Sus scrofa: one gene and its partners. The protein of the gene in region 2 interacts with the protein of the main gene of each other region in a biochemical or structural test. Links are inferred from orthologs where the notes say so. Each region holds a gene or a part of one and is shown on either strand. Other genes may lie near its edges. The genes, in order: EIF4G3, EIF4E, EIF4EBP3 and IPO8.

Region 1 (7,480 bases), on a different chromosome or scaffold from region 2:
GGGGTCCAATTGGAGCTGCAGCCACCAGCCTACGCCACAGCCATAGCAACGCCGGATCCAAGCTGTGTCTGTGACCTACACCACAGCTCACGGCAACACCAGATCCTTAACTCACTGAGCGAGGCCAGGGATCAAACCTGCGTCTGCATAGGTACTAGTTGGGTTCGTTAACCACTGAGCTATGACAGGAACTCCTCCCCTTTGTGCTTTTTTCCACAATAAAGATCTCACCTCCAACAGTTTTCCTAGGGTCATGAAATTCCCCCATACTTTATTTTATTTTCATTTATTCCTTTAAACCAAAGTGCCTACACTGGTAGTAAGAAAAATAAAAGTAATAACCCTTCAGTTTTAAAAAAGTCTAGAGAGTACAAATCATAGTTGTAATAATATTACATTCAAAGGCATCTAGAGGCATAATCAGCTGTAGAGGATACAGTACATTTATACAACGTTTATCTTTTCTGTATAAAACTTAAAACATCTTAACCATTGAAACATGAAATTCCTGAAGCTATATTTCATACCTCTTACAGAGTGCTTACCTGTAGTTCAGTCAGCATTATTTTGCACAATAAAGAAAATAGGTATTTTGAGAAAATCATTGAATTTCTTTAAGTAATCTTGCTGCTTTTGCGTTTTCCCATCTGGATGCAGCTGAAAGTACCCATGGCAGACAAGCCTGGTAACACAGTGAATTTCCGGAAGCTGCTACTGAACCGTTGCCAGAAGGAGTTTGAAAAAGATAAAGCTGATGATGATGTCTTCGAAAAGAAGCAGAAAGAACTCGAGGCTGCCAGTGCTGTAAGTATTTTCACAGAAAGACAGTGTTATTAAATAGATTTTTCACAAAGCTTCTTACAACATCTTCTTACTACTTCAGCAGGTGCCTGTGGCCTTTTCTTCATGTGGAAATAACTTTATTGATGTTTAGAGGCAGCTTTGTTCCTTTTAGTGCCACATGTTAGAGCAACTCAACCTTTTAAGTTAGGGATTCAGAACCTAGATTTCAGAGAGGTCACTGAATTCGAGAAATCGCCTGAAATAGGTGCAGACTTTTGGGTGTATTTCATTTTCTGAGTAGGCCTGTAGCTGCTGTCATAATCTCAGAGTGTGTCCCTGATGCCTGGAAAGGTAGAGACCATGACTCTCTATGCGTGTTTTTAGCCTTTATTTTGCATACTGTTTTTATCATCAAGATTCTGTTACTCTTCCTTATGCAACAGCCAGAGGAGAGGACAAGGCTTCATGATGAACTGGAAGAAGCTAAGGATAAAGCCCGGCGGAGATCCATTGGTAACATCAAGTTTATTGGGGAGCTCTTCAAACTGAAAATGCTGACTGAAGCCATCATGCATGACTGTGTGGTAAAGCTGCTAAAGAACCATGATGAAGAATCCCTCGAGTGCCTGTGTCGCCTACTCACCACAATTGGCAAAGACCTGGACTTTGAGAAAGCCAAGGTGAAAACCCCAAATCCCAGAAACCTCCAGCAGGGACTCTGTCAGTTGCAGAAGAAGGAGACTGTCAGCAGCAGTGTCCCTATTTCCCCCGCCGTCTCAGCCTCCTGTTTGTCTTCTTTCATCCTTCTCACTGTCAGTGTTGGGCCATCATGCTTCTACCATATCTTCAGTAAAGTCAGACGTGAAGAGGGCCCCAAATTGTGTAAAAGCCAGTTCACAAATGGTTCAGAGTATCTGTCCCTTGTCCTTTTTCTGCATGACTATCTCACATATCATTTTGTATGTATAGGTAGAGTAAGTTGGCAGAAATTCTGGAGAGAAAAGCTACTAAGGGCCAGGACCGAGAATGAGAAAGAAATGAAGAAGACCCAGTAGCTTTTTTTTTTTTGGTCTGTTTGGGGCCGCATCTGAAGTATATGGAAGTTCCCAGGCTAAGGGTCCATTCGGAGCTGTAGCTGTCAGCCTACAGCACAGCCACAGCAACATGGGATCCAAGCTTCATCTGTAACCTACACCACAGCTCATGGCAATGCCAGATCCTTAACCCACCGATTGAGGCCAGGGGTCGAACATGCATCCTCATGGGTACTAGTCACATTCATTACCACTGAGCCACAACAGGAACTCCCAGGTAGCCTTCTTAAGTTTATGCTCTAGTTAATGACAGACGTATAAAACTATAATAAATCACTAGAGTTCTCTTATGGCGCAGTGCGTTGGGAAGCTGGCATTGTCACTAGATCAGATTGGGTCACTGCTATGGCTTGGGTGTGATTCCTGGCCTGGGAACTTCCACCTGCCACAGCCAAAAAAAAGAAATCATTAAAAATAATATAATTCAAACATAACATGGTACTCCCCAAATAAGGGGTAGGGAAGTTAGAAATCCATCAAAGAAATGTCACAAATGCTTCCTAACATCAAAATCCACTAGGATTATGTTTGGCTGTGAAAGAAAACCACAAATATCAATGTTTTATATAAGATTGAGGTTTATTTTTCACTCTCGTAAATGAATTTCACAGATAAGTCTGAGGCTGGTCTGATGGCTAAATATCAGTTCCTCCAGCTTAAATTCAGTCATCCCTAAGGTGTAGCCCTTGTCCTTCCTCATCTCACAGTAGAGAATGTTGGAAAGGGGCAAAGGACATAGTCACCCCTCTCTTAAGATTCCAGGGAGGTACAGTATGACATTTCCATTTATATTCTGTTGGACCTAGAATTAGTCACATGCCCATGGCCAGGTGCCTAGAATATGTAGCCTTTATTTTGGATGCCACGTTCAATTAAAAATTCCATCACGTTGCCTTTTGACTCTAAGTTGTACTCCTAGGTCCTTTTAAAGTTCTGCATGAGGAATTTGTAGCTCAGTGGAAACAAACCTGACTAGCATCCATGAAGATGCAGGTTCATTCCCTGGCCTTGTTCAGTGGGTTAAGGATCTAGCATTGCTGTGAGCTGTGGTGTGGGTTGTAGACACGGCTCAGATCTGGCATTGCTGTGGCTGTGGCATAGGCTGGCAGCTGCAACTCTGATTCAGCCCTTAGCCTGGGAATTGCCATATGCCTCAGGTATGGCCCTAAAAAGCAAAAATAGTAATAAAATAATATTCTACATGGTAAATCTACATTCGAATTCCTCAGCCAGGAATACTAATGATTTTGCTCTTTCAGCCACGTATGGACCAATATTTTAATCAGATGGAGAAAATTGTGAAAGAAAGAAAAACCTCATCTAGGATTCGATTCATGCTTCAGGATGTGATAGACCTAAGGCTGGTAAGTAGAAAAATAAGCCTACCACTCTCGTCTCTTTTTCATAAGTTGGCTATGAGGAATGTCCTAGTAATTACATGTATAATAACTTTTTTTTTCTTTAGGACCGTACATGCGGCACGTGGAAATTCCCCGGCTAGGGGTTGAATCAGAGCTACAGCTACCAGCCACAACCACAGCCACAGTCACAGCAACATGGGATCCCAGCTGCATCTGCAACCTACACCACAGCTCACAGTAATGCCAGATCCTTAACCCACTGAGTGAGGCCAGGGGTAGAACTCACGTCATCATTGGTGCTAGTTGTATTCCTTACCCCTGAGCCACCATGGAAACTGCCTGCACACATGTGTGATAACTTAATGCTTTTGCTGCATGACTCTCAGAACTTGAGATGGCAAATTTTCATGAGAGAGCTGTGTGAGAGGACCAAGGGCATACATACCTACCTGTCTGTTACTTGTTTCTCCTTTTGTTTTTTTGTTTTTGTTTTTTTTGTCTTTTTGCTATTTCTTGGGCCGTTCCCGCAGCATATGGAGGTTCCTGGGCTAGGGGTCTAATTGGAGCTGTAGCCACCGGCCTATGCCAGAGCCACAGCAACGCGGGATCTGAGCCGCGTCTGCAACCTACACCACAGCTCACGGCAACGCCGGATCATTAACCCACTGAGCAAGGGCAGGGACCAAACCCGCAACCTCATGGTTCCTAGTCGGATTCGTTAACCACTGCGCCACGACGGGAACTCCTTGTTTCTCCTCTTTATTCTGATTATCAAACCACATTGCAGTTTTGAAATCAGCCATTCTGAATTCAAACTGTGGTCAATAAAATTAGTCTTAAAGAGCTAATCAAGGAGCCTCATCTTCACAATGAATACATTTAACTTCCCTGAGCCTTACATTTTAGTCTTTAAAAAGGGGGTGTTGTTGTTCCTGTCTTGGCGCAGCAGAAACGAATCCGACTAGGACCCATGAGGTTTCGGGTTCGATCCCTGGCCTCGCTCAGTGGGTTAAGGATTGGGTGTTGCTGTGAGCTGTGGTATAGGTCACAGACGTGGCTTGGCTCTGGTGTTGCTGTGGCTCTGGTGTAGGCCAGCGGCAACAGCTCTGATTAGACCCCTAGCCTGGGAACCTCCATATGCCGCGGGTGTGGCCCTAAAAAGACAAAAGACAAAAAAATAATAAAATGGGGATGTTGCTTACTCTGGAGATATGATATAAAGATTCAGTGAGATAATTATGTAAAGTACCCAACTCAAAAGATGTTTTCTTTTTTAATGTTTTTCTTGTATACCCTCTTGTTCTACTGCCTTTTTTTTTTTTTTTTTCTCATTTCTCATACCAGGTACGGTTTATATACCACTACCACCTCTTTTCCCTTTTCCTGTTTTAACTGCCATAGGAATGCTGCAGCTGACCCTCAGCTAGAGAAAGTGAAATTAGGTCCCACCTATTCCCTGCCCTGCACCCAGACAGACAGTATGATGATGGTTCTTTATATTGCTAAGCTGAGGTGTGACTCAGGATCCTTCTTCTTAATACCACCACTGCCAGCTGATCTGAATTTAAATGCTGATTTAAAGCTATCTGCTATTCTTGCCTCAAGCTAATATTAATAAATATTAAAAACTTCTCCACCACCACCCATGCCTTCACCCACTTGTATTTATATCAGATGTGGAGATTACAGCTGGGTAGGGAAGGAAAGGGAGAAGTATAACTATAAGGAGACAGCCTGTTTTGTCCTCAATAGAGAGGATGACTAAAGGGTAGAGGGTGTGGCACTCTGTATAGAAACCAGAACCTTCATATAGGAGGACAAAAAGTGCTAGTCATCCTTGATTTAGAACTGCAGTGGAGTTTGCTGTGAACTGAGTGGCCTTACACCAGACTAAGTCAAGGCCGAGGAATCCTGATCTTTTTTGGGGGGTGGGCCTAGGCCCTCACCCGAAGCATATGTAGATTCCCAGGCTAGGGGTCGAATTGGAGCTGTAACCACCAGCCTGTGCCACAGCCACAGCAATACCAGATCCGAGCCACATCTGTGACCAAACAACAGCTGACAGCAATACCAGATCCTTAACCCACTGAGCGAGGCCAGGGATCGAACCCGCAACCTCATGGTTCAGGTCAGATTAGTTTCTGCTGAGCCATGACGGGAGCTCCCCTGATCTTTCTTGTTTCCTCTTCCCTCTACTCCTTTCAAAAGTGCAAAATGATTTTAATACGCACACACCCAGTTGGGTCAAGTCCCTCACTCTGTGTTGTTATCCATCAGCTGTTGGAAGACTCAGTATACAGTAGCTCAGGTTGATTGAGAAAAATTGAATTCTTCATCTCTAACACCCAGACTGCACCCCATGTGCCAATGTGTAAGACGGATGAAAAACTGCCATAGTACCAGATTTTGTATGTATCTTATACTTTTCCAGCAGTGGAAAGTATAAGATAGGTTTTCAAATGTTTCCTTTTTCTTCTTAGTTATCTGGCTGATAATCTTATTTTTTCCTTTTGTAGTGTAATTGGGTATCTCGAAGAGCAGATCAAGGGCCTAAAACTATTGAACAGATTCACAAAGAGGCTAAAATAGAAGAACAAGAAGAGCAAAGGAAGGTCCAGCAGCTCATGACCAAAGAGAAGAGAAGACCAGGTGAGGGATGGAGTCCACCAGGCATTAGAGAACTTGGGAGTTTAAGAGACAGATAGATTGAACCCGCAGAATAGAGAGGCAGTTGGTAAGTGAAGCAGCTTCACCTGGAGACTGGTTAGGAGTAAAAGCAGAGAGTATAGGAACTAAACATGATTTCTTTGACCACATCAAAGGCAGTAATCAACAAGACTTTGTTGAGCATTTTCTGTATACTCAGTATTGGTGAGAGAGAGAAAAAGAAGTAGAAGATGTAGTTCCTTCCCTCTAACAGCTTCCGGTTTATCTGACAAGTCAGAACTAATAGAGGGAACGTTTCAAGCAACTGGAAGATGAATTATGAAATGTATTCTCCACTAAGGCCGTTAAATTTCAGAAGACGAGAGATAGAAAGCTGGACGAAATTCTTATTTGAGGAAGGGGCAGTTGATCCAGGTATTGGTATTTGGAAGGGAAGGAAAAATTCTAGTCATGGAATTAAAATAATAAATAAGCCTGATTAGAGTAAAATTTAAGTGTTCATAAGGAATGGAAAAATGTTTTTTCTGAAAGAATGGAACCAGCTTAGAAACTTTTGGCTTGATTTGCCATTAAAGAGCCATTTTATGTTTCTGAGCAAAGGAATAATGTTATGCTAGAGGTGTGTACATAAAACCAGTCTGTTGCTCTTCACATGATGAACCAAGGGGTAAACTGAACTCAGAAATGTTGCTGTTGCTGTTGCCTCAGATCCTGTGCGGAAGGAGGTAAGATTTAGTCATAGAAGAATAAAAAGGAAGAAAAAAACGGGAAAGATGAAATAGAAGATACTTTACACCTGAGAAAATGGAAAGTGTGTTGACTAAGTTTAGGAATGTTGAAAGAGGAAGCCTTTATCAGAGAGGAAATGATTATTTTTCTTTTAAGCCTGTTTATGTCGAGATGATGTCCAGATGGGAATGCTTGTTTTGTCTGTCGTGCAGTTAAGTGATGAGGGTCATACTCCGGTAGCATGGAGAGCATAGACTCTGGAGCCAGACTGTCTTGGTTTGCGTTTCAGCTCTCCTGCATACTAGCTGTATGACCTTGCACAAGTCATTTAGTCTGTAAAATGGATCTCACAATAGCCCCTAGGATTTGCATGAGGATTAAATGAGGTAAAATAGGTAGAGTGTTCAGTGGAGCAACTGGCACCTTGTAAATACTCAAGAACCATTAGCTGTTGCTTATCACAGACGTTATACAGCTCATAGTGAAACTCTGAGAGATGACTCCTTCAGGAAAAAAAGTGTACTTTTCCATTTTGTAGGACACCATGCTTACCTTCCTCACCTTAGTCCCTAGCACAGTGCCCTTTCAGGTAATTACTTTCATTTACTATTTAGCTAGATTGAGAGGGAAAAAACATGAAAGCCTAATCCACAGGTGTCCACAGATAACTAAAGGAAGAAAAGAATTCTTAAAAAAGTGACAGATGAAGAACCAGTTGAGAGGAAGAAGTACTGGGATATCGTGTCATAGAAACAAGGAATAAGCAAGTCAGTTTGTGATCATTAATATCATTTAGCAAAGAGAAAATTAAAAAGTTTGTGAGGATTGGAAAAGCTTTTGGATAGA
Region 2 (7,480 bases):
TTAGTCTCCCTGGCTCCTTACCATCTCTAGATAAACGTTGCACCATACAGATCATGTGATAATCTTACTTACTTCTTTGATAGTATAATTTAAAAAACCTGACTGAATCTACTTTATTTATTTATTTAGTCTTTTTATGGCTGCATCCGAGGCATACGGAGGGTTCCCAGAGCTATAGCTGATGACCTTCGCCATAGCAACTTGGGATCCAAGCTGTGTCTGCACATTACACCACAGCTCATAGCAATACTGGATCCTTAACCCCCTCAGTGAGGCCAGGGACCAAATCTGCATCTTTATGGATGCTAGTCAGATTAGTTTCTGCTGATCCATGACGGGACCTCCTATTTATTTATTTTTATTTTTTATTTTGTTTTGCTTTTTTCAGGGCCAGGGCTGCATTTGCAGCATATAGAAGTTCCCAGGTTAGGGGTTGAATTGAAGCTGCATCTGACAGCCTCTACCACAACTACAGCAACACAGGATCTGAGCCATGTGTGTAATGTACGCAACAGCTCATGGCAATGTTGGATACTTAACCCACTGAGCAAGGCCAGGAATCAAACCCACATCCTCATGGATACTAGTTGGGTTTGTTAGTGCTGAGCCACCACGGGAACTCCCTGACTGAATCCATTTTAAACATCCCGTGAAAACATCTGTTAGGGGTTTTCAGGGAAAATTTCATTAAGTTGGTGCTGCAATTACCACATAATCCTCCTGAACCTATTTTCTGGTGATCCTGTCTTAGATACCTCAGTAGTCAATAGCCTTAGAAAGAATTTTAAGAGGAGACATCCAGCTTACATTAGAAGTACTTAGCTGGAGTTCCTCTGTGGTACAGTGGATTAAGGATCTAGCGTTGTCACTGCAGTGGCTTGGGTTGGTGCCATGTGCAGGTGCAACTCCTGGCCTGGGAACTTTCACATGCTGTAGGTGCAGCCAAAAAAAAAAAAAAAAAAAAAAAAACAAGTGCTTAGCCAATTAGGACAAGTAATGAATAATTTGGGGATTTGTTACAGTTAATTGAGGTATATGCTTAACTGATTAACTGAGGAATGACCTGAAAATATTTTTGTTACGGTTCTTTTAAAAATATACTTCTGGAGTTCCCGTCGTGGCGCAGTGGTTAATGAATCCAGCTAGGAACCATGAGGTTGCGGGTTTGATCCTTGGCCTTGCTCAGTGGGTTAGCGATCCGGCGTTGCCCTGAGCTGTGGTGTTGGTCGCAGATGCGGCTCGGATTCTGCAGGTGGCTACAGCTCCGATTCGACCCCTAGCCTGGGAACCTCCATAGGCTGTGAGAGCGGCCCAGAAAATGGCAAAAGGACAAAAAATAAATAAATAAAAATAAAAGTATACTTCTTCATTCTTACTTGGCGTATGTCCATAATTAACATCTTTTCTTTTTTTTAAGGGCTGCACTTGAGGCATGTGGAAATTCCCAGGCTAGGGGTGTAATTAGAGCTGCAGTTGCCAGCCTACTGCCTGCCTACACTCTAGCCGTAGCAACACCAGATCCGAGTTGCGTCTGCGACCTATACCACATCTCATGGCAGTGCTGGATCCTTAACCCACTGAGCGAGGCCAGGGATGGAACTTGAGTCCTCGTAGATACTAGTTGGGCTTGTTGCCAATGAGCCACGAGAGGAACTCCCTAAAAGGTCATTTTTGATCGAAAAATTTAATGCATCATGGCCATCTTTCGGGAAAGTACTTCTCATTGTATGTTACCATAAATTCCAAAGATAAGGGATTGGAATTTACCTATAGAATAGCCAACTGCCATGGATTAACCTGAGAGTTTAAAAGAACATCCTACATGGCTATTACTTTTGCTTTATCTAAGTTGAAAATAATGAAGAAAGCATCTTGATTATTTGTATCAGAGTCAAGAGGTTTTAATAATAAGTTGAGAGAAATTACCGAAATGATTTTGTAATGAGGCCTTTGTCAATAGTCTCAAAAAATTTCCTTTGTGAATTTTTAAAAATATATTTTGTATATTTACAACATAATTGCAGAATTAAGATGCATACAGAGTGAATGATTGATGGTAAACTTTTTGGTGTACAATTTCTACTGATTAAGAATGGATTGTTGCAATAAGTAGATGGCCATAGCAATATATGACCTGAGAAAATTTGTACTCGGGGGGCAGTATGCAGGAGCTGTTTTTTATGTGCTGCTGAGGTAAAGATGTAAACAAATGCTGTGAAAGAGTAGTTTGCCATGAGAATCTTGAGCTTATGAGTATGTCTTTTAGTTAAATAAGAGAATTGGCAGTATTTCTTAACTTTTCCTGCGCTTTTCATTCTTTTTGTACTTCCATGCTTTCATCCGGGAGCTTTTCCCTCTAACCTGAGACTTTCTTTAGTGTTCCTCTTTTTGGACTTTCTGGTGTTGTGCAAATGTTTCCTTATTTCTCTATTTCTGGAGAATAACTTTTCCTAGGCACTTAATTCTAAGTTGACAGTTTTTTCTTTCAGCATTGAGATGTTATTCTGTTGTCTTGTGGCTTCCAAAATTTCTGTTGAGACGCTACCAGTTATTCTTATTGTTCCTTTGGAAGTGATATATATATTTTTTTCTTGGCTGAACCCATGTTGTGGGAAGTTCCTGGCCAGGGATCAAACCTACACCATAGTAGTGACAATGCCAGATTATTAACTGCTAGGCCATCAAGGAACTCCTAATCTCTTCATCATTAGTTGCTGGTAAAAACAAAACAAAACAAAACATTATTTGCATGTCTAGTAATTTGATTGTTTGTTAGGTCTTACGAATAATATTCATAGAGCCTCAGGATTATGTTTTTCCTCTGAAGAGTGTAGAGTTTTGTTCTTGAAGACAGTTAGCAATAGATTGCCTTGATCCTGCCAAGGATTAGTTTTAGAATCTGTTAGGTATGTGTATTTCACCTAATTCCTAGGACATGACCTTTCTAGGATTTCATCTGAAACCTGAGGATTTTCAACCATCCACTCTGGCTAGGTCTGAACTTGGTCTTCCTAATGCTGTTCATCCTCTGAAATCTTGGCTTAGCTGTTCTCTGGTAGACCACCCAGAATTGCACTCTGAACATCTCAGTTTAGGACTAAGTCACAGCCAAGGATTTGTGGGGTTTTTTTTTACCCCCCCATGTGTTTTTGAATTTCTCTCTACAGTTTACTTTTCTCTGGGACCCTGTTCCCCAAATCCACCTGCCTTGTCAGTCCCTTACTGTTCCTTATTGTCTCTATTCATTCAGACTGCCTCTGTGTGGAGACCATCATTAATTTTAAGCTAGTAGAGTAAGGAATGCTATTTGGTAATGACCATCTACTTGAAGACTTAAATTGTGATGAGAAAATGCTTGTACAAATGGTTGCTAATTTTAAGGCATTGGCTACTACTATATGTAAATTTTAGGGCCTTAACTAGTCTTCAGTAAACATTTAAGTTTATTCAGTTAAGTTTCTGTTGAGTGTAGCATTGTGATCATTGACATTACAATTGTGAGCAAAATCAAGATAAAGCCCCTGCTATGACTGACTTTATAGGATAGTGAAAAAGTAGTTCCTGGAAGTGTCTTGTTGATAAGAAAAATGTATTTTATAAAATGTGTCTTCTCTGAGGTCTTTTGTTTTTGTTTGAGGTCTTTTTTTATTTTCTTCTTTTTATTTATTTATTTATTTTTTTGTCTTTTTCTAGGGCCACACCTGTGGTATATGGAGGTTCCCAGGCTAGGCGTCCAATTGGAGCTGTAGCCGCCAGACTACACCAGAGCCACAGCAACTCGGGATCCGAGCCCCGTCTGCGATCTACACCACAGCTCATGGCAACCCCAAATCCTTAATCCACTGATTGAGGCCAGGGATTGAACCCGAAGCTCATGGTTCCTAGTCGGATACGTTAACCATTGAGCCCTGACGGGAACTCCCTGAGGGCTGTTTTTAGATTATACATCTCTGATTTGCTTAGTGTTGTTAATGTGACAGTGTATCTATTGTTTTGCTGGCTTGATTTGAATCTGATATCCACACCCTTGTTGCAGTGCCCCCGTTTTTTGTATCAGCTTTTGTTTCAGCCCTTTTCTTAACCACCTTTTTGTTGATACCAGCTTAAAATAGGTTAAAGAACTACGTGGAGTGATGTGGAGAACATGTCTTATTCCCACGTTTCTTTTTTTTCTTGACATTTTTAGATGACAGTATTATGTGTAACCTAGAAGAAGATTTAAGTTCAAGCCAATGTCTAGCTTTTTTCCTTAGGGCAAATTGAGAAAGAAGTTGCTGAACTTTTAAGTTACCATGTGTCATAACGGTATAACATGAAGGCAAGGACCTGTGTAGTACTGGCTTGATAAAGTTTTTTTTTTTTTTTTTAAGTCATTGTAATATAATTAGTTGCACTTCCAAACTTAAACCCCCTCCCCAGAAAGCATGCATAGCACTTTAATTGTATGTTAAGAAAGATACCTGATTTTCCCAACTTTTTTGCATGGTCTCTCACAATCTTTTTATTTATTTATTTATTTTTTGTCTTTTTGCCATTTTCTTGGGCTGCTCCCGCGGCCTATGGAGGTTCCCAGGCTAGGGGTCTAATCAGAGCTGTAGCCACCGGCCTACTCCAGAGCCACAGCCATGCGGGATCCGAGCCGAGTCTTTGACCCACGCCACAGCTAGCTCAACGGCAACACCGGATCGCTAACCCACTGAGCAAGGCCAGGGATCGAACCTACAACCTCCTGGTTCCTAGTGGGATTCATTAACCACTGAGCCACGACGGGAACTCCTATCACAATTTTTCTGATATTAAAATGTGTAAGAAGATAACAGTATATGAAAAATACTATCATTATATTTTTGAATTAGAGAAACTAAACTCTTTGCATCTCAGTGGAGAGATGCCAGAATGGTCTGGTGCCTTTTTTTTTTTTTGTCTTTTTAGTAATGCTTTCTTTAGAGATTGTCTGTTTAATCAAAAGCTTTTGCTGTAATTCCTTCTCCTTAAAAAAATGATATGGACAATATTGGTTCAAATTTATTTAGAGTTATTGCTGTCATATAAATTAAGAAATTTATTCACGTTAAAAAATTTATAATGTTTAATTATTTTCCAACAGGAAACCACCCCTACTCCTAATCCCCCGCCTACAGAAGAAGAGAAAACAGAATCTAATCAGGAGGTTGCTAACCCAGAACACTATATTAAACATCCTTTACAAAACAGGTAAGTTTTTTGACAAGTAGGTTTTCTGACTTAGGCAACAAAGTAAATGGTGAATGGGACAGGTTTGGAGGGAAAGATTAGATGAGAATAGTTTTAGATAGGTCGATTCCATTTTCATTTGGATGACCCATGTTTACCAAGTAGTTTTATTTGTGAATCTTGAGCTCAGAAAGTAGGACTTTGAAGTATTGGTTTGAAATTCACTGGTTATTGGTAACTGAAACCACAGTAGTAAATAAGTTCTCTTAAGTGAACTTGACTCACAACGGAGGCTTAGAATATTAGCACATCGGCGGGTGGGGGGGCAGTTTGGCTGCACCCACAGCACGTGGAAGTTCTCAGGCCAGGGATCAAACCTGAGCCACAATTGTGACCAGAGCCACATTGATGACAAGGCTGGATCCTTAACGCACTGAGCCACAAGGGGAACTCCACATAGGGTTTTTTTTTTTTGTTTTTTTTTCCTTCTGTCTTTCTGTCTTTTCTTTTAACTAACCCGAGGCATGTGGAGGTTCCCAAGCTAGGGGTCTAATAGGAGCTGTAGCCACCGGCCTACACCACAGCCACAGCAACGCCAGATCCGAGCCATGTCTGCAACCTACACCACAGCTCATGGCAATGCCAGATCCTTAACCCACTGAGCAAGGCCAGGGATTGAACCCACAACCTCATGGTTCCTAGTCGGATTTGTTAACCACTGAGCCATGATGGGAACTCCCACATAGGGGTTTTTTTGAGCAAAAATGCCTATAAAGGGTATAGACATATAAACTGTATAAAGTAGGACAGAGTGTGCTGGTCAGGAAAATTATTTTTTTTTTTTAAGGAAAAGATGGTCAATAACTTCAGTGCCACAAAAGAGTCAAATATTCATTGGATTGAAGGCCAAATCCTTGCTAGTGTTGGAGAAAGTTTAGTAGGTGGAATAAGATTGGAGTACTTTGAAGAGTGAATAGAAAGTATACTAATGTTTACAGCAGGAATAGATGGTTTCAGGTTAGCCTGTGAAGGAGGAAAGAGAGCTATGGAGTCTGGAGGTGGGTCAGTTTTTATTTAAGAGAAGTTAAGAGAAGAAAAGAGAGTTTAAGGTGAGGTAAATTTTCATAGTTACATTGTAATATAGTTCAGTATATGGTTTTCTCTGTCTCCACCCTGCCACTTCCCAGTATGTGTTTTTATTTAATTTTCTTTCTGGTTTATGTAATGAAAATTAACTGAAGTCACTGAGAGCTGATGGTGGAAAGAAAATGGCAACTCAGAAACATTGTAAGAATCTGGAGGAAAGTAAATTGGAATTAACTTCTGAGGCTTCTTAAGTACTACAGCTCCTTTCATTTCCTCCCCACCACCAGGCCTTTTACTCTCTTTACGTAAGATCCCACAAGTCTGGAGTTCCGTTTGTGATGCAGTGGAAACAAACCCAACTAGTATCTATGAGGATGTGGGTTCAGTCCCCGGCCTTGCTCAGTGGGTCGGGGATCTGGTGTTGCCGTGAGCTGTGGTGAAGGTCACAGATGCCACTCGAATCCCTCATTTCTATGGCTGTGGTGTAGGCCAGCAACTGTAAGTCCAATTTGACCCTTAGCCTGGGAACTTCCGTACGCCGCAAGTACAGTCCAAAAAACAAAAAACAAAACAAAACAAAAAACACCCACAAGTCTGTATATACTTGGTTTAATTTATCTGAAAAATGTGTTGTCCCTTTATGGCCCATATATATATATATATTTTTTTTTTAAATCATTTCTTCACTATCATGGTAGACTTACTGAACTAATAGTACAAAAATGTGTAAGTAGTTTTTTCGTAGAAGACCCATGGTTCTGCAGATCTATTTTCTAAACAATAGGAATTGTCAGCTAGTGAGTAAGTTATCAAAGGTCCAATAGTCCATAAAGGATAAAAAAAAAAATACTGCTTCAGGAAAGCATTGTGCCAGAAGTAGTAAGTTGAACAGTTGATTAGTGGCAGTTTCATACAGTTCAACCTAATAGCAGTACCAAACCCTTTAAAGTTTTTTTTTTTTTTTTTCGTTTTTTTCATTATCATTTAAAAAGCTGTGTCTTCTGATTGTGAACACAGTTCTTAGTGTTGTTATTGTGGGGAGAAGTAATCAAGGCATGTATACTCCTCATAAATTAAATGAATTTTGACAAGAGATTCCTGAAAGGTGTCTTCTTCAGTGAACAAACTGATTAAATCCTGAAATGAAGTCTATGAGGATTTCAGTTTTCTCTATAAATTTTATTTCTTTAATATTTGGAAA
Region 3 (7,677 bases), on a different chromosome or scaffold from region 2:
TGGAACACCCACATGTCTTGCTGTTTCCACTTAGCACTAACAACAACAAAGTCACCTAATTTAGAGAAATAAATGAAACTATAAATAAGTGAAATACACATATTTATATTTATATAAATATATAAATAAATGAAATATAGAAAAATAAATGAAACTTGATGAAACATATACTAGTGAGAGATAATAGTAAGTAAATTTTTCAGTGGCACAGAATGGTGAGTTTTTTTCTGTCTGAACTATCTACAGTACATTTGAATTATTGGAAGAGCTCTTAACCCTATCTTCTATACCTTGAGGACAACAGAATGAAATTTTTTATCTCAGGAAAGGAACTAGACAAAAATAAAAAAGAGGAGGAATTTTGAGAAACCTCTAGGAGGATTAGGAAGAAACAGGAGCTGTGTCGTTTACAGCAGTTATTTAGGATACCCTCCTTTCTGCCCCTTTACCAGCACTGCCTCCTTTTCTTTCTATTTGAATCCCAGTAGCCTACTCCCCACTCCATTTTGCCTGCTATAATCTCTTCTTCCTCTGTCTTGCCTCTTCTTGGCATTACTTTACTGCTATTTTACCAACCTGAACCTTGGATTAAACCTAGCTCAGGTAAGAACTCAATTACTTTCAAAATATACAAGGGACTGCGGGTGGGGGGGCAGCATGGTTAGAGGGGAACAAGAGTCAGAAACCTAAATTCTATTTTCCTCTCTGCCACTTGAAGCTATATGACCTCAGCAAATCATTTCTTGTCTCTGGGCTTCACTTTCCTCATCTAAAAAATGAAATTGAATATAAATTGAACTCAAAAGGGTCTCCTAGTTCTAACATGTTTTCTCCTTTGTCTTGTGCATGGTATGGGAATATGGTATGGGAAAAATAGAAGCCAAAAGAATGGTTCACATTGCTGAGGTTTAAGAGCCCCTCCCATTTGTTTTCACATGGAATCAAAAGCCTGCTGTTGTAAGGGCCATTATTGACTTTAGGATTTTAGTGGAAACAGAAGAAAACCTCATGTGCACCCATAGTGAGCCCTCAAGTCATAAAGAAAATCCTGCCGAGGCACAGATAAAACCCCTTGAAAAATAACAGCTCATTCAAGGAATAAAACTGTATCATCAGGGAGTTTCCATTGTGGCTTAGCAGGTTAAGAACCACACTAGTATCCATGAGGATTTGGGTGCAATCCCCTGGCTTTATTCAGTGGGTTAAGGATCCGGCGTTGCCACAAGCTGCAGCATAAGTCACAGATGCTGCTCGGATCCTGTGTTGCTGTGGCTGTGGCATAGGCTCCAGCTGCAGCTCTGATTTGACCCCTAGCCAGGGAACCTCCATATGCTGCAGATGCAGCCCTAAAAAGAAAAAAACAAACAAAGCCTGTGTCATTAAGGTTTCTAGACCCACTTATTTCAAATAGTGTTCAGTGTAATAAAATTTCACCACCAATAAAATCATTGATGTTTTTAAGACCCTTTAGACCTATTGTGGCTACAGTGTGCTGACTTGCCCTTTTATAGGCCAGTCTGCTTCCTTCAGTCCCTGCTCTCAAAGGGGAAATCTCACCACCTCAGCTATCCAGACCGAAGAAGAGAGTTGGACAGCCAATGGTGGCCTCTCCTAACCAGAGGTAAGAAATCTCAGGACTTGGGGAGTTCCTGTCATGGTTCAGTGGTAACGAACCCGACTAGTATTCATGAGGACGCAGGTTCAATCCCTGGCCTTGCTCAGTGGGTTAAGGATCTGGTGTTGCCATGAGCTGTGGTGTAGGTCGCAGATGCAGCTCGGATCTGGCGTTGCTGTGGCTGTGGCGTAGGCTGGAAGCTGCAGCTCAGATTCAACCCCCAGCCTGGGAACCTCCTCATGCTGAGGGTTCAGCCCTAAAAAGACCAAAAAAAAAAAAAAGAAAGAAAGAAAGAAAAGAAAAGAAAAAGAAATCTCAGGACTTGGAAGTACAGCTTCCATCTGTTCTTATAGATTCTGGCCAAATTCTCCTCCCATCCTCAAAATTAGTATATGAGAGGACCATCCTTAGTTTGGGGTAGCTTTCAGAAGGGGAAAGGCTGGTCACATTAGAGTTTCAAGCCAAACAGAGAGGCGTGCTTAGAATGCGTGGTCCTGGCCCCCTGTTTAAGACCTTTGTACCACACCATAGACCCAGGAAGAGGCAAACAAGCTGTGGGAAAACAGCTGCTGAACAGCTTGTTCTCTAACTAGCCTTAGAGCTTTTCTCTTCTACAAAGAAGTGTGGCTGGTCGTGACATCTTCCCAGTGGACCCTGTCCTGGGTGATGTGTGACCATGTGTCAATGTTATTTGACAGGTTACTTTACCTTCACGCTCTGCTGTAGGAAACAGGTGAGAGAAAAGTGGTTTTAAGTGTGTTAAGACCGCCTTCAATAAAAGGCAGGAGCTTAAGCTTAAAAACCTAATTTGGAAAACAAGCTCATGAATCTGATCATCAGATTGCAAATGTATTTTGTGATTACATTTCACCTCTTTCTCTTTCATCTTGATGGTACTGGTGGCAGAGACCTGGTTTTCCCTTACAGGTTCAATCAGACCTTTGGGGTTGGGAGCTGCGCGAACTTTTTTTTTTTTTTTTTTTTTTTAAGCTCCCATACTCTAATGAGCAGTCACTGTCAAACAACCCTCTGGTTTAAACTCCTGGTCCTTCATCTGGGTTGAATGGACATGAATCTGGCTTTCTCTCTAAAGCCAACTACCTATTCTCTAGTTCCCCAGCCCTTACGGCACACAGTGTCTCAAGAAAAGTAAGCTTCCAATAGAAGGCTTATAGTAATAGTAACTGCTGCTGTTGTTTCATAGTAGCGGTTAAGAGAAGAGAGACCTCACTTCCACACTGATCCTTCTGGAAAAGCTTCGTCACTTCTCTCCTAGTTCTGTTCTCACTGGTGTTTCTCAGTCTCTTTTGGTAAAATCCTCTTTCTCCACTCTTCCTTAAATAAATGTTGATGTGCCCAGGCCTCTTCTTTTGGTGTATCTTCTCCCCGGGTAATCTCTTCCCCTGCTCTTGGATTTCACTCCACCCAAATCTGAACCCCTAGCCCAGACTTCTCCCTCCGTAGCTTCAGACCTGTATCATTAGGTTGTACCAAGCCTCTCAAGTCAAGTCTGGGAATGATCCTAGCTGACAGGATGTTAATCAAGCACCTTATCCTTCCCCCTCTGTGTATCAGGGAGTTTGCACCTTCATTCTCATTGTCCTCCATCCCATCCCCCATACCCCCTCACTAGACTACTTACCTTGCTTAAAAGTTGAGTTAGCAGGAGTTCCCATTGAAGCTTTGCAAGTTACAAACCTGACTGGTATCCATGGGGATTCAGGTTCGATTCCCTGCCTCACACAGTGAGCCACAAGCTGAGGTATAGGTCACAGACATGGCTCAGATCTGGCATTGCTGTGGCTATGGCGTAGGCCAGCAGCTGCAGCTCCAATTAAACCCCTAGCCTGGGAACTTCCACATGCTGTGGGTTCGACCCTAAAAAAAAAAAAGAGAGAGAGAGAGAGTTGAGTTGGCAGGAGTTTTCTAGTGGCACGGCAGGTTAAGAATCCATGTTTTCACTGGGATGGATGGGTTGCTGCTGTGGCACAGGCTTGATCCCTGGCCCAGGAACTTCCATGTGCTGTGGGCACAGCCAAAAGAAAAACAAGGTTGGCAGAGTTTCCCGGTGGCCGGCATTGTCACTGCTGTGGTTCAGGTTGCTGCTGTGGCTCTGGTTCAGTCCCTAGCCTGGGAACTTCTGCATGCCAAGGGTGAGGCCAAAAAAAAAGGTTGAGTTGTCATAGATAGTTCCTCACCATCTGATCCCAAGCCTTACCTTCCAGTATTGCTTAGACACTTCATTTAGGCACACACCACTTTGTAAGAGGCTCAAGTCCTTTTTGGAACAATAAAATATCCATGTCCTTGCTACCTGATTCTAAGGACCTGCAGACCTAAGGGCTGCATCACCTGGGATTTTATGAAAAACCCAGAATCTCAAGTCCCACCTACTGTGTCAGAATCCTCATTTTAACAAGATCTTTAGGTAATTCATGTGCATGTTAAAATTTGAGAAGCACTGATTTGTAAAATCCAGTCTTTTTTTGAGGAGGCCAAATATCAGACAACTGGATCAAGTTGAGGCTTTTAGTGTATATAAATACTAGACTTCGTACTTACTTTCCCACCACCTCTCCTGCCTCTTTTCATACCACTATGCCTACATCGAAAAGTCTTCTCTTTAAAGGCCAGGTTCTCTGACGTTACTTTTCAGCGAGCTAAAGACCAATCCCTCCTCCCCAGGCCCCTCCATCCCGTATAGGCTTTATTCATCCTTTCATCAGTCCAGAAAGGCCACCCTCCCTCCCGGGGCTTCCCTTTGTGCCAGGCACCAGGCCATGGGGCCCTCTGCACCCTGTGGGATGGCTGATTAATGGGAGGCAGCACACAGCTAAGCTGAAGGGCATACGCTCGAACCAGATACGATCAAGTCTGAATCCCAGCTCACCCTCCTAGTAGACTTTGAAACTTCTCTGGGCTTTGGTTTTCTCACTTGCAAAACGAGGCTCATAGCAGTGCTTTACTGTTTAAAGCAGTGGGTGAATGAACACGAAAACACAGAGCGCCCTCTGCAAATGGTGAAGAGCTGAGTGGCTGCAGTGCTGCTAGGCAGGCGGGCCAGGGTTGGGCCAGGAGAAACTGAAGGCCAGTGCGAGCTCTGGGCCTCCTTCCCACCGAGCTTGGGGCTTGCTCCCGCCAGAGGAGGGCGGCCCCAAGGGGCTGAGTGACAGCTGCCCCGCCCCGGGCGTGACGTCCCGGTGTTGCTGCAGCCGCACGTGGTCGACTGAGTCCGCCTCAGACTGCTCAGCGCTCCACGTCCTCAGCACCAGCCGCTTGGCTTCCTGCTCGTCTGGCTCACTATGTCCACATCCACCAGCCGCCCGATCCCCGGAGGCCGGGACGGGCTGCCTGACTGCTACAGCAGCACGCCGGGGGGCACGCTATACGCCACGACCCCGGGAGGTCAGCGGGCGGGGCCGGGGTCTGCAGGCAGCGGGCAGGCTGGCGTGTGCGTGTCTCGCGATGTGGGTGGGGGGTTGCAGGCCTGAACTTGTCCGCGGGCCCCTCTACAAGCTTTGCTCCCCGGGACGGGGCCGGGGGTGTTGCTTGGAGCTGAAGCCCATTTCCCTAAAACTTCAAAGTGATGCAAAACCGCCTTGAGCCTAGTTTCTGGGTGACTCTGGGCAGAAACATCCCTGTGGACTGGGTTCCGAGTTCCCTGCTCACCTGCCAGTCCTAACTTTGCTGCCTGGGAGCAGAGGCCCCAACTGCGTGCAGCAGGAAGCAGTCAGGTCATGCAAAGCTGCTAGAGCAGGACTTTGGCAGTCGGGGGCAGGGGCTTCAGGCCTTGGTGCTGGGGGACTTGCTTGTGGCTGATTGGCCTGGAGCAGCCTGGGATCACGCCTTCTCTGGAGTTCCTGCCACGCGGAAGCAAAGGGGAGGGGTGAGAACAGGATAGGGCCCTTTGAGGACATGATTCAGGCCAAGTTCCTCTAGGCTGGGCTGAGCCTGATAGGACTTGGGAGGGGTCAGGATAAGAACAGCGTGTCCCTGTTTCAAAGGAGCGGCACTGCTCCTCCCAGCAGGGGATCCACAAGCCCAGGGGGCAGCGCGAGCCCTCACATCTGCTGTTTGGCTTCCTGGTCCACCTGAGATAAGAAGGCTAGGCGAACCAAAGCAGTAAAGTTCCAGAGTCAACAGCAGGACAGAAGTAGCCTGAAGTACCTGAGATCAAGTCGGGTGCTCCCAGAACGGAGGCCTCAGGCTCCGGTAAACCAAAAGCCCCTGCCTAGACCAGCTGGGATGCCCCCTTGCCCTCTGGTGCCTAGACACATACTGCTTAGTGCAGTAGACCTTTACCAAATAGGATTTTCTAAAGATCTTGGTCCCTAAAAGGCCTGTCTGCAGTTCCAGACAGCTCTGTACCCAAACGCCTGCCTCTCAACCGCCCTTACCCCTTGACAGGCACCAGGATCATCTACGACCGAAAGTTCCTGTTGGAATGCAAGAACTCACCCATTGCCCGGACACCCCCCTGCTGCCTCCCTCAGATTCCCGGGGTCACAACTCTTCCAACAGCCCCATCCTCCAAGCTAGAGGAGCTGAAGGGGCAGAAGGAGACAGAGGAAGAGATACCCGGTAAGGAAAACAGGCCCTCAAATTAAGAAATGGCTTTAAGTCACATGCCCCAGTTAAATGGAGTGGGGGCTCAGTTCTGAGCAGGCCTCTTGCACTGACAGGGAGCCTGCAGACCCCCAGCCCAGCACCCAGTCTTCCTGCCTTTTCTCTCTCCAGATGATGCACAGTTTGAGATGGACATCTAATCCAGTGCAGATGGCCGTGTGTGGAGTCGGAAGAACCCCTCATGCTGCTGCCGCTACCTCCTTTCTTCCGGGGTATCCAGAGGCCAGATGGCCTCATCTCATCCGGAAGGGGGTGACTTCTTGGTTCTGGGCCTCCCTTAGTTCTGAGGCAGCTAGACTAGGGATGAGGAGTGGGCAACCTGCCAGGCCCTTAGCTCAACTTTCTCTTTGGTCTGTAGGCTCTCATCCTAACCTCTGGCCCTTGGCTCAGGCTGGGACTGGGGGGTGGAGAATGTCACTTTCTGACTGCTTAGTAAACATTCAAAGAAATGCCTTGGCTCCACTGTTCTCCTCAATGTTGACCTTCCCATCTCAGACATGAAGCTGAGGGCCCCAGCAAACCTGCTTAGGCTCAGAGCTCCCAGGTCCCTTCCCAGCCCTCACTGGGCCCACTTCCAGCCATGATTAGAGCCTGAGAAGGCTTTGGGGGCAAGCCATAGGAGCCACCAAATCATCAACAGCAGTAGCCTGACCCCTGCCAAGGGGCTGTCCCAGTCTTTTCAGGAAGCAGCCTTCTTGGAATCAGGCCTCCGGAGCAGTACCCCTCCCTCCCTATTCCAAAGCAGGAAAAGAGGTACTGTCCCCAGCCTATAGCATTCAGTGGTCTCTCCCAGACCTCTGCCTCCCACCTGTAAGCAGTCTCCCTTTTCACAGTAGGACAGGACCCTCCTGGCCCCTTCCACCTCGTCCCGTTGTCCTTGCAAAGTTAGAAAGCAGGGCCCAAACTGAGGCCGCAGCTTATCTGGTGAGTCAGATAGAGCCATGGGGGGAAAAAAATCACGATCCCCTATCTCAGCAATCTGGTCTTTCAAACCTTCAACTTACAAAGCTATGTGATCTCTGCAGCATTTGCATACCTCAAGGGTAATGAAATAGAAACAGGGCAGTCTCTTTTTTTTTTTTTTTTTTTTTTTTTAAATCTTTAGGGCCCTGCCTGTGGCATTTGGAAGTTCCCTAGGCCAAGGGTTGAATTGGAGCCACAGCTGCCAGCCTACATCACAGCCACAGCAACACCAGATCCAAATGAAGTTTGCAGGAGTTCTTGTCGTGGCTCAGTGGTTAACAAATCCAACCAGGAACCATGAGGTTGCAGGTTCAATCCCTGGCCTCACTCAGTGGGTTCGGGATCTGGCATAGCCACGAGCTGTGGTGTAGATCACAGACGCAGCTCGAGTCCTGCATTGCTGTGGCTCTGGCGTAGGCTGGTGGCTACAGCTCTGATTAGGCCCCTAGCCTGGGAACCTAACTCAGTGAGTG
Region 4 (7,480 bases), on a different chromosome or scaffold from region 2:
CAGTAGCATATAGCATAATACCAAATGGTTTACAATAATGAATTTTTAATTTTTTTTTAGGTTTTTAGCACATACATGTTGAGAGAAAAAAAAATTTAGATCTTATTCTCTTAGCAAACCAAATAGAGGTAGAGGCTTTAAGAAAACCATTTCATAAGCCTCTAACTTCCTCATCCTGGCTATGCTTATCCCAACAGGAAAGAGAACTCTGGCCTTTGAATAAATAGGGTATTGGAGTTCCCGTCGTGGTGCAGTGGTTAACGAATCTGACTAGGAACCATGAGGTTGCGGGTTCGGTCCTTGCCCTTGCTCAGTGGGTTAATGATCCGGCGTTGCCGTGAGCTGTGGTGTAGGTTGCAGACGCGGCTCGGATCCCGCGTTGCTGTGGATCTGGCGTAGGCCAGTAGCTACAGCTCCGATTAGACCCCTAGCCTGGGAACCTCCATATGCCGCGGGAGCGGCCCAAAGAAATAGCAAAAAAAAGACAAAAAAAAAAAAAAACTGAATAAATAGGGTATTACTATATCTAATGGCAAAAGATATCACTGAATAAAAAATGGTACAACCACTATGGAGATACCTTAGAAATCTATACACAGAACTACCATATGACACAGTAATCCCACTCTTGGGCATATATCCGGACAAAACTTTCCTTAAAAAAGACACATGAACCCGTATGTTCATTGCAGCTCTATTCACAATAGCCAAGACATGGAAACAACCCAAATGTCCATCAACAGACGACTGGATTAGGAAGATGTGGTATATATACACAATGGACTACTACTCAGCCACCAAAAAGAATGAAATAATGCCATTTGCAGCAACATGGATGGAGACTCTCATACTGAGTGAAGTAAGTCAGAAAGAGAAAGACAAATACCATATGATATCACTTACATCTGGTATCTAATATAAGGCACAAATGACTCTTTCCACAGAAAAAAAAATCATGGACTTGCAGAATAGATTTGTGGTTGCCAAGGGGTAGGGAGTGGGGTGGTTGGGGAGATTGGGGTTAAGAGATACAAACTATTGCCTTTGGAATGGATTAGCGATGAGATCCTGCTGTGTAGCACTGGGAACTATGTCTAGTCACTTATGATGGAGCATGATAATTGCAAAAATACAATGTGTACATGCATGTGTAACTGGGTCACCATGCTGTACAGCAGAAAAAAAAAACTGTATTGAGGAAATAACCATTTAAAAAATAATAATAACAACAACAACAAAAACATCTGCCTCAAAGTGATTTCCCTAAGGAAGATTTTTTTAAAGGGGGCTCTCTTCTTTACTTTCCCATTTACCTATAATCGTAACTAATCTATAGGCAGAATGCTATGGACAAATTAGTCAAATTACCAGTTTTTAGCGCAGCTGACTACCTTGTTTCTTCCATACTCAGACTTCAGATACTGGAACGAAAGGGAAACAAACACTGAATCTCAGCTCTGCCACTCAGTTAACTCGGACAATTAAGCTGACTTCTGCAAGCCTCTTCTCTCACAAGGATTTTTTTTTTTTTTTTAATATAGTGAGAATATATAATGTGCAATTTTTAACAATAACAGACACTTACTGAGAACTTTCTATGTGTCAGGCAGAAATACAAGCACCATAGTCATCTTCTGCTATAGAAACTTACCTGAACAAGTGCATAAAAGATTTTCAGGATCTGCTTCTGTAGTAAAACAGAATAATGTGAGGAATCAGGAAGGAGCTGCATGATTTGTTGCTGAATACGAGGCAGAAATATTTGCATTGCTGCTATAAGAGGTTCTCTTTCCTCTGCTTTCTTATATCTACACAAGCAAAGACAAAAAGAGAGAAAAATAATTTCTCCCCACAAAAGAGCTATAAACAATGAATGAAAAACAATACTTTCTAAACTACATAAAGCTAATAAAACAATAACATACGAAACACAGACTTATATTTTCTACTTGGATTGTTAGAATAAACATGAAAAGAACTTTGAGAAAGCACATCCCTATTTTAAGCAGAATACCTAAAATCCTTCCAGAAAGAAACTAGTTTAAAAAAAAAATCCAAGACAGCTTTGCAACTTTCCTATATGAATTTTTTAGTACTGAAATTAGTTTTCATCATATCACAATCCTTCCTATACAAGTTGAATGTCAGTTTAAAAAGACATTCCTATTATATAACATATAATACGGGGGGAAACATTGATTCATCCACTCTCCTACATTGAGATGTTAAAACAGTATACAAATTTAGGTGCTCTTAGATCACTTTAACTAGGTATCCATCTAAAATAGTCTCTAAAAATTCTTTTAAAAGGAAGACTATCGACTGCAGGAAAACAATCCCCTTAGATACTAGAAAGCAATGCTATTAAATGCAACACTAGTCCCACACCTCCCAAACAACTTTTACAGAAAAGAAAGTCACCAACAGAGAAACTTAAACATTGTTTACCTTGCATCCAAAAAAGTAAATGTTTGTTTTACTTAACAATATGCTCACTTAAAGACAAATGTTAAGGTACCTCTCCATCAGTTTCCAAGGAAAGCTGAGACTAACAAATAAATTTGAGAAGGACTACCTTAGAGATTAGTACATTAGCAGATTAAATAGTCTTTGAAAAACTGTAGAAAATAAACATGTTTAACTGTATTTACCAAACTAACATCATTCTGCAGAATAATCATAGCAGACCCCTCTATGCAATGTAATTCTTTCCAAGTAACACATGGCTGGTATCTTCAACCAACAGAAATCAACTTACTCATACGTCTTCACCAGTTGATACAGACATAATAAACTGCCAAGCCAGCTTCCACTGCTCTGTGATTGCAAGTAATAGTCTATCTTGTCGACTACCGCTGGCCAATGACCAGGGAAATCGTATTTAATGATGGCACGGAGACACATTGTTAACTGGACTCTATAAGGTGGGGGGGAAAAAGTCCAAAATCTAAGTAGTTATAAATATCAGGCTTCAAAGACCTCTAATATTTTACATAAAAACACTCTGATTCCCATTTACCTACATTATATAGTTATCTATCTAGGGTTGGAAGGAAAAGAGTAATCCTATCAAGAAAAACCTCCTCAGGAATTCCCGTCATGGCTCAGCAGTAACAAACCCGACTAATATCCATGAGGACATGGGTTCTATCCCTGGCCTTGCTCAGTGGGTTAGGGGATCCAGCATTGTCATGAGCTATGGTGTAGGTTGCAGACACAGCTTGGATATGGTGTTGCTGTGGCTGTGATGTACGCTGGCAGATGCAGCTCTGATTGGACCCAAGCTAGAAACTTCCATATGCCACAGGTGTGCCCCTCCCCCCTAAAAAAAGAAAGAAAAACTGCCCCAGTAGCTCAAACTCACTGAAAGAAAACAAACACCAAGGTTGACTGCCTAAAATGAATGACATCTTTCAAATGATAATATCCTAAATACAACTTTGCTTTAAAAAAAGAGAATTTAAAAGTAAATTCATAAAACTTTTTCAAAAAACAGTGGATCCACCCCAGCTCTATAAAATTTCCCAGCTTATTATATTTTGTATTTTGGTTATCATAGCCTAAGAAGAAAACAAAACTAAAAACGTTTTATCACTTCAACTAAAAACGGTCAAAGAAAGTAAAATGGAGGCCCACATCACAGCAAGAAGCACCTCTGTGAGGCCAAGGCTTGAACCATTCATTGTCAGTTCCCAGCCATACAGGATACTACACCTACCAGAGATTCCTCAGATACTAATTTCTATAAGTTGGGTATAAATAATAAGCATTAGCTGGCAATTATTGAAGAGGAAAGCTAAGAGTTTTTCCCCAAGAATTAAAGAAAAAAGCAAGAGGGCAGACATAAAACAGAAAAAAAAAAAAAAAGGCATCTCTTTAATAAAATTACAAAGTTAAGTGATAAAAAAAGATGTGATCACATAATGCATCAGGTCAGGCATCATTCTTCAACTGGATCCCAATTTTAACTGGGATTGAAAAGAAAGTGAAGGCAAAAAATTTCTCTTCTACAAATTATCAGTATATCCTTACATGGTCACTTGCAAATGGTAAGAAAGTAAATCCACAGTGAGAAGAAAAAGGTATGTGTTCAGTTGAATAACTTGAATTCACTGAAATGAAACAAATAATCCTTTTTCCTTATGTTATAAATCAATTTGCAAAAGATCCTTTGTAATACTCTTCTATAAACTTTCAGAATATTTCTTCCAGAGTGGTTAGAGTTAGCCTTCAAGACGTAAGAAAGGCAAAGCTACAAAGAATATCACAATAAAGATATCCTCTTGTGCCACCAGCAACTGTTCCTAAACAACCAGTAGATAATATCTGTATTCAATAAAACTGAAACTTTTCATTCATTTAATCTCATCTTCAGATTAACCCTCTTAATCCTTTCTCATTCCAAGACAAGCAAAGGACAACTGTGAACAGCCATCCTTTCATGTATTACTGTGTAGAAGCATTGCCTACAAGATTCAGAGAGATCTGAAATGCAAAGACTTTGACAAGAAATGGATATCTGGTGGTACCATAGGGAAGCCAGTGCCAGAATGGATGTGGGCAACCAGTGAGAATAAGGATGCTTTTCTTTCACCAGGACATCAATTTTTTCCTCTTAACAAAACAACTGCACAAAGAGGAGTTCCATATTTGTCCTCTTTCCTCACTGTCCCTCTCATACTTCCTTTTCTTTCCTCTGCTTAGGGCATATGTGTATTACACACTCACAGACAAAGATACATCTAAGTTCTTGAAACTAAATAATTTTATTTCCATACCTCGGTTTCTATTATTTCCCTCCTCCATTTTCAAAAGAAACCTAATCACTTGCTCATGTTGAAAAGAATTTGTTTCTCCTATTTTAAAATTGCATTATTCTTCTGACTTCACAGCTTTGCTGTCCAATAGGGGAGCCACTAGCTATGTGCGCACACTGTCACTTAGTCAAAATTAAATTAAAAGTGTAGTCCCGGAGTTCCCGTCGTGGCGCAGTGGTTAACGAATCCGACTAGGAACCATGAGGTTGCGGGTTCGGTCCCTGCCCTTGCTCAGTGGGTTAATGATCCGGCGTTGCCGTGAGCTGTGGTGTAGGTTGCAGGCGCGGCTCGGATCCTGCGTTGCTGTGGCTCTGGCGTGGGCCGGTGGCTACAGCTCCGATTGGACCCCTAGCCTGGGAACCTCCATATGCCGCGGAAGCGGCCCAAAGAAATAGCAAAAAAAAAAAAAAAAAAAAAAAGTGTAGTCCCTCAGGAGTTTCCTCGTGGCTTAGCAGATTAAGGATCCGGCATTGTCACTGCTGTGGCTCAGGTTTGATCCCTGGCCCAGGAACTTCAGCATGCCAAGAGTGCAGCCAGAAAAAAAAAAAAAAAAAAAAAAAAAAAAAAAAAAAAATTAGTTCCTCAGTGACACTAGACACATTTCAAGTACTCAGTTGGCTTTTAGGCCACGTGGCTAAGTATCAGGTAGTGCGGACAGAGATTTCCACCACTGCAGAAAGCTCTAATGGACAGTACTGTGCTACAGCTGCTAATCTAAATTTGGAAAACAAGAGATAATTCTTCTAATTTATACTTTCTCCTCAAAGAAAAAGATACTCAGTTCATAAAAATGAATTAAAAAATAGGTAAAGTGTTACAAAAAGTGGTAGGTTAAAATTCCGAGAAGTCATTTTCCCTGTATCTGGGGAAAGAGAAGCAAATGGTAAAAATCTAAAGGTCATAACTAAGTACATTAGTTATCAATGTAGTAGGGATCTATACAACGATTTTCGTTCCATTTGATTTTTGCTGTAACACTTTTTGTGGCAACTTACAGCAAGTACATCTTTTCTAAACTATTTTAAGACAAAGAATTATAAATGCAAAAAAAAAACAACTAACTAAAACTGTATTATCTGAGTGCCCATCTTCATGACTTTGTATCTTTAACAAAACAAACTTGAGGCCTATGATTAAATCCAACCTCCCTCATTGATATATTTTGTGGCCCTACTAATCAGATAGATATAGTATAATGTACCTCACTAAATCTGGAGACCGAATTATTCCTTCTACAATATTATCACGTATTTGCTGGCGATCATTTTCATGAATGTTGAATGGAAATATTGCTTCTCCTGGTGGAGGTTCTCGGTCCGGCCAGTATTGTGTCACCATGTTCTTCAAGTAAATGGCAGCTAAATGAGAGAAAAAAAAAAAAAATGCTAATGTAGCAGTATTGAAAAAATGGCTTTCATTCAGATTTACAGAGCATGAAAGGCTAAACCCTTCAATGCTAAACATGATACCTAGCAAAAATGGAAAATCTTCCAGTTATAAATAGCCAAGTGGGGAAAGAAATATACATATAAATTTGAAGTTTCTCTTTCGCTAGTAAAGTAAGTCGAAGCAGAAAACATCGTATTAAATCAAGAGTTTATATACAGAAAAATGATCTAGAACTCAAGTATGTATCTTTAGACTAAATACATGATGATCTAAACGAAACTCTACTAACTGCAAACTGCACTTTGAGATCATGAGTCATACTATTTATAAGGCCTAATACTGAAAAACAAAAATTATTTGAGAGAGAGAGAATTAGTTAGTTTGGGGTTTTGTCTTTTTTTATATCAGATCAAACAGGTTCTAGACTAAGTATCATCTTTTACTTCAGTATTTTTATTATATACTAGTCACTGGTAATAAAAACACATAAACTGTTGAAAAAATGAATAAATGATCTAAGAATATGGTCCAACCTGTCAGCACTTCTGACTAATTTCATGAAATTAATCTTTGCAAAAAGAAAAATCATATTATACACCAAACCATTTTAATCCCTACAGAACTAGTCTTATAAATAAAAATAAGTGTGAAAAATAGTGTGATTTCTGTTTTATGGTTAGTTGTCTTCTTTTTGTTCTGTCTGTTTTGTTTTTTCAGGCAGCAAAGATACAGACAAGATAAAAATCATGGACTTAACTCATAATTCAGTCATCAAATGCTGTTAATTTTATAACTAAAAAAATATTTTTATTATGGGACACCATATCAGATGGCCTATATAAAAGGCACACTACAAATTTGTATGTGTTGAAATAAACCGCTGATTAGTTAAAGCTGAAATGAATAACTTGAAAAGAAAATATTAATTACTCTTATGGATAACCATAGATTACCAAGAATAAAGGAAAAATACCAAAAATAATTTAAACTCTACCAATAATCTAAAATCTTCCTTCAATCATTTAACTCAAGTATCTAACCATTTGCCAGAGCTAAGAAAGAAAACAGAAATTTTTGTCTCCATTCATAAAGAAATTAAGTATTCAAATTTGCTTTTCTGCAAAATTCACTTACAATTTCAAACATCTTAGTTTGAAACTGACTTTAAAACACACACACACTTCTCTCCTTCTCAAACTCACCTAAGCTCTATCCTCTGGACCCAGAGCCACCCTACACAGGGCAACTGGGTTCCATAACCTCACAGCGGAAGG

The links.
Region 1: the proteins of EIF4E (region 2) and EIF4G3 form a complex in vitro, tested with the Homo sapiens proteins (3 studies listed by BioGRID and IntAct, with this or other methods). The link is inferred for Sus scrofa from reciprocal best matches to the Homo sapiens genes EIF4E and EIF4G3.
Region 3: the proteins of EIF4E (region 2) and EIF4EBP3 form a complex in vitro, tested with the Homo sapiens proteins (2 studies listed by IntAct, with this or other methods). The link is inferred for Sus scrofa from reciprocal best matches to the Homo sapiens genes EIF4E and EIF4EBP3.
Region 4: the proteins of EIF4E (region 2) and IPO8 form a complex in vitro, tested with the Homo sapiens proteins (2 studies listed by BioGRID and IntAct, with this or other methods). The link is inferred for Sus scrofa from reciprocal best matches to the Homo sapiens genes EIF4E and IPO8.

Annotation. Positions count from the first base shown.
Region 1 is NC_010448.4:79,069,044-79,076,523, reverse strand, and holds part of EIF4G3 (eukaryotic translation initiation factor 4 gamma 3), read left to right. Parts: intron 1-657; coding exon 658-804; intron 805-1,226; coding exon 1,227-1,463; intron 1,464-3,136; coding exon 3,137-3,241; intron 3,242-5,754; coding exon 5,755-5,887; intron 5,888-7,480. UniProt on the Homo sapiens protein: Component of the protein complex eIF4F, which is involved in the recognition of the mRNA cap, ATP-dependent unwinding of 5'-terminal secondary structure and recruitment of mRNA to the ribosome. Functional homolog of EIF4G1.
Region 2 is NC_010450.4:121,435,429-121,442,908, forward strand, and holds part of EIF4E (eukaryotic translation initiation factor 4E), read left to right. Parts: intron 1-5,107; coding exon 5,108-5,214; intron 5,215-7,480. UniProt on the Homo sapiens protein: Acts in the cytoplasm to initiate and regulate protein synthesis and is required in the nucleus for export of a subset of mRNAs from the nucleus to the cytoplasm which promotes processes such as RNA capping, processing and splicing.
Region 3 is NC_010444.4:142,299,030-142,306,706, forward strand, and holds EIF4EBP3 (eukaryotic translation initiation factor 4E-binding protein 3), read left to right. Parts: upstream 1-4,851; 5' UTR 4,852-4,917; coding exon 4,918-5,020; intron 5,021-6,022; coding exon 6,023-6,196; intron 6,197-6,352; coding exon 6,353-6,381; 3' UTR 6,382-6,690; downstream 6,691-7,677. UniProt on the Homo sapiens protein: Repressor of translation initiation that regulates EIF4E activity by preventing its assembly into the eIF4F complex: the hypophosphorylated form competes with EIF4G1/EIF4G3 and strongly binds to EIF4E, leading to repression of translation.
Region 4 is NC_010447.5:43,110,779-43,118,258, reverse strand, and holds part of IPO8 (importin-8), read right to left. Parts: intron 6,176-7,480; coding exon 6,019-6,175; intron 2,918-6,018; coding exon 2,759-2,917; intron 1,809-2,758; coding exon 1,652-1,808; intron 1-1,651. UniProt on the Homo sapiens protein: Involved in nuclear protein import, either by acting as autonomous nuclear transport receptor or as an adapter-like protein in association with the importin-beta subunit KPNB1.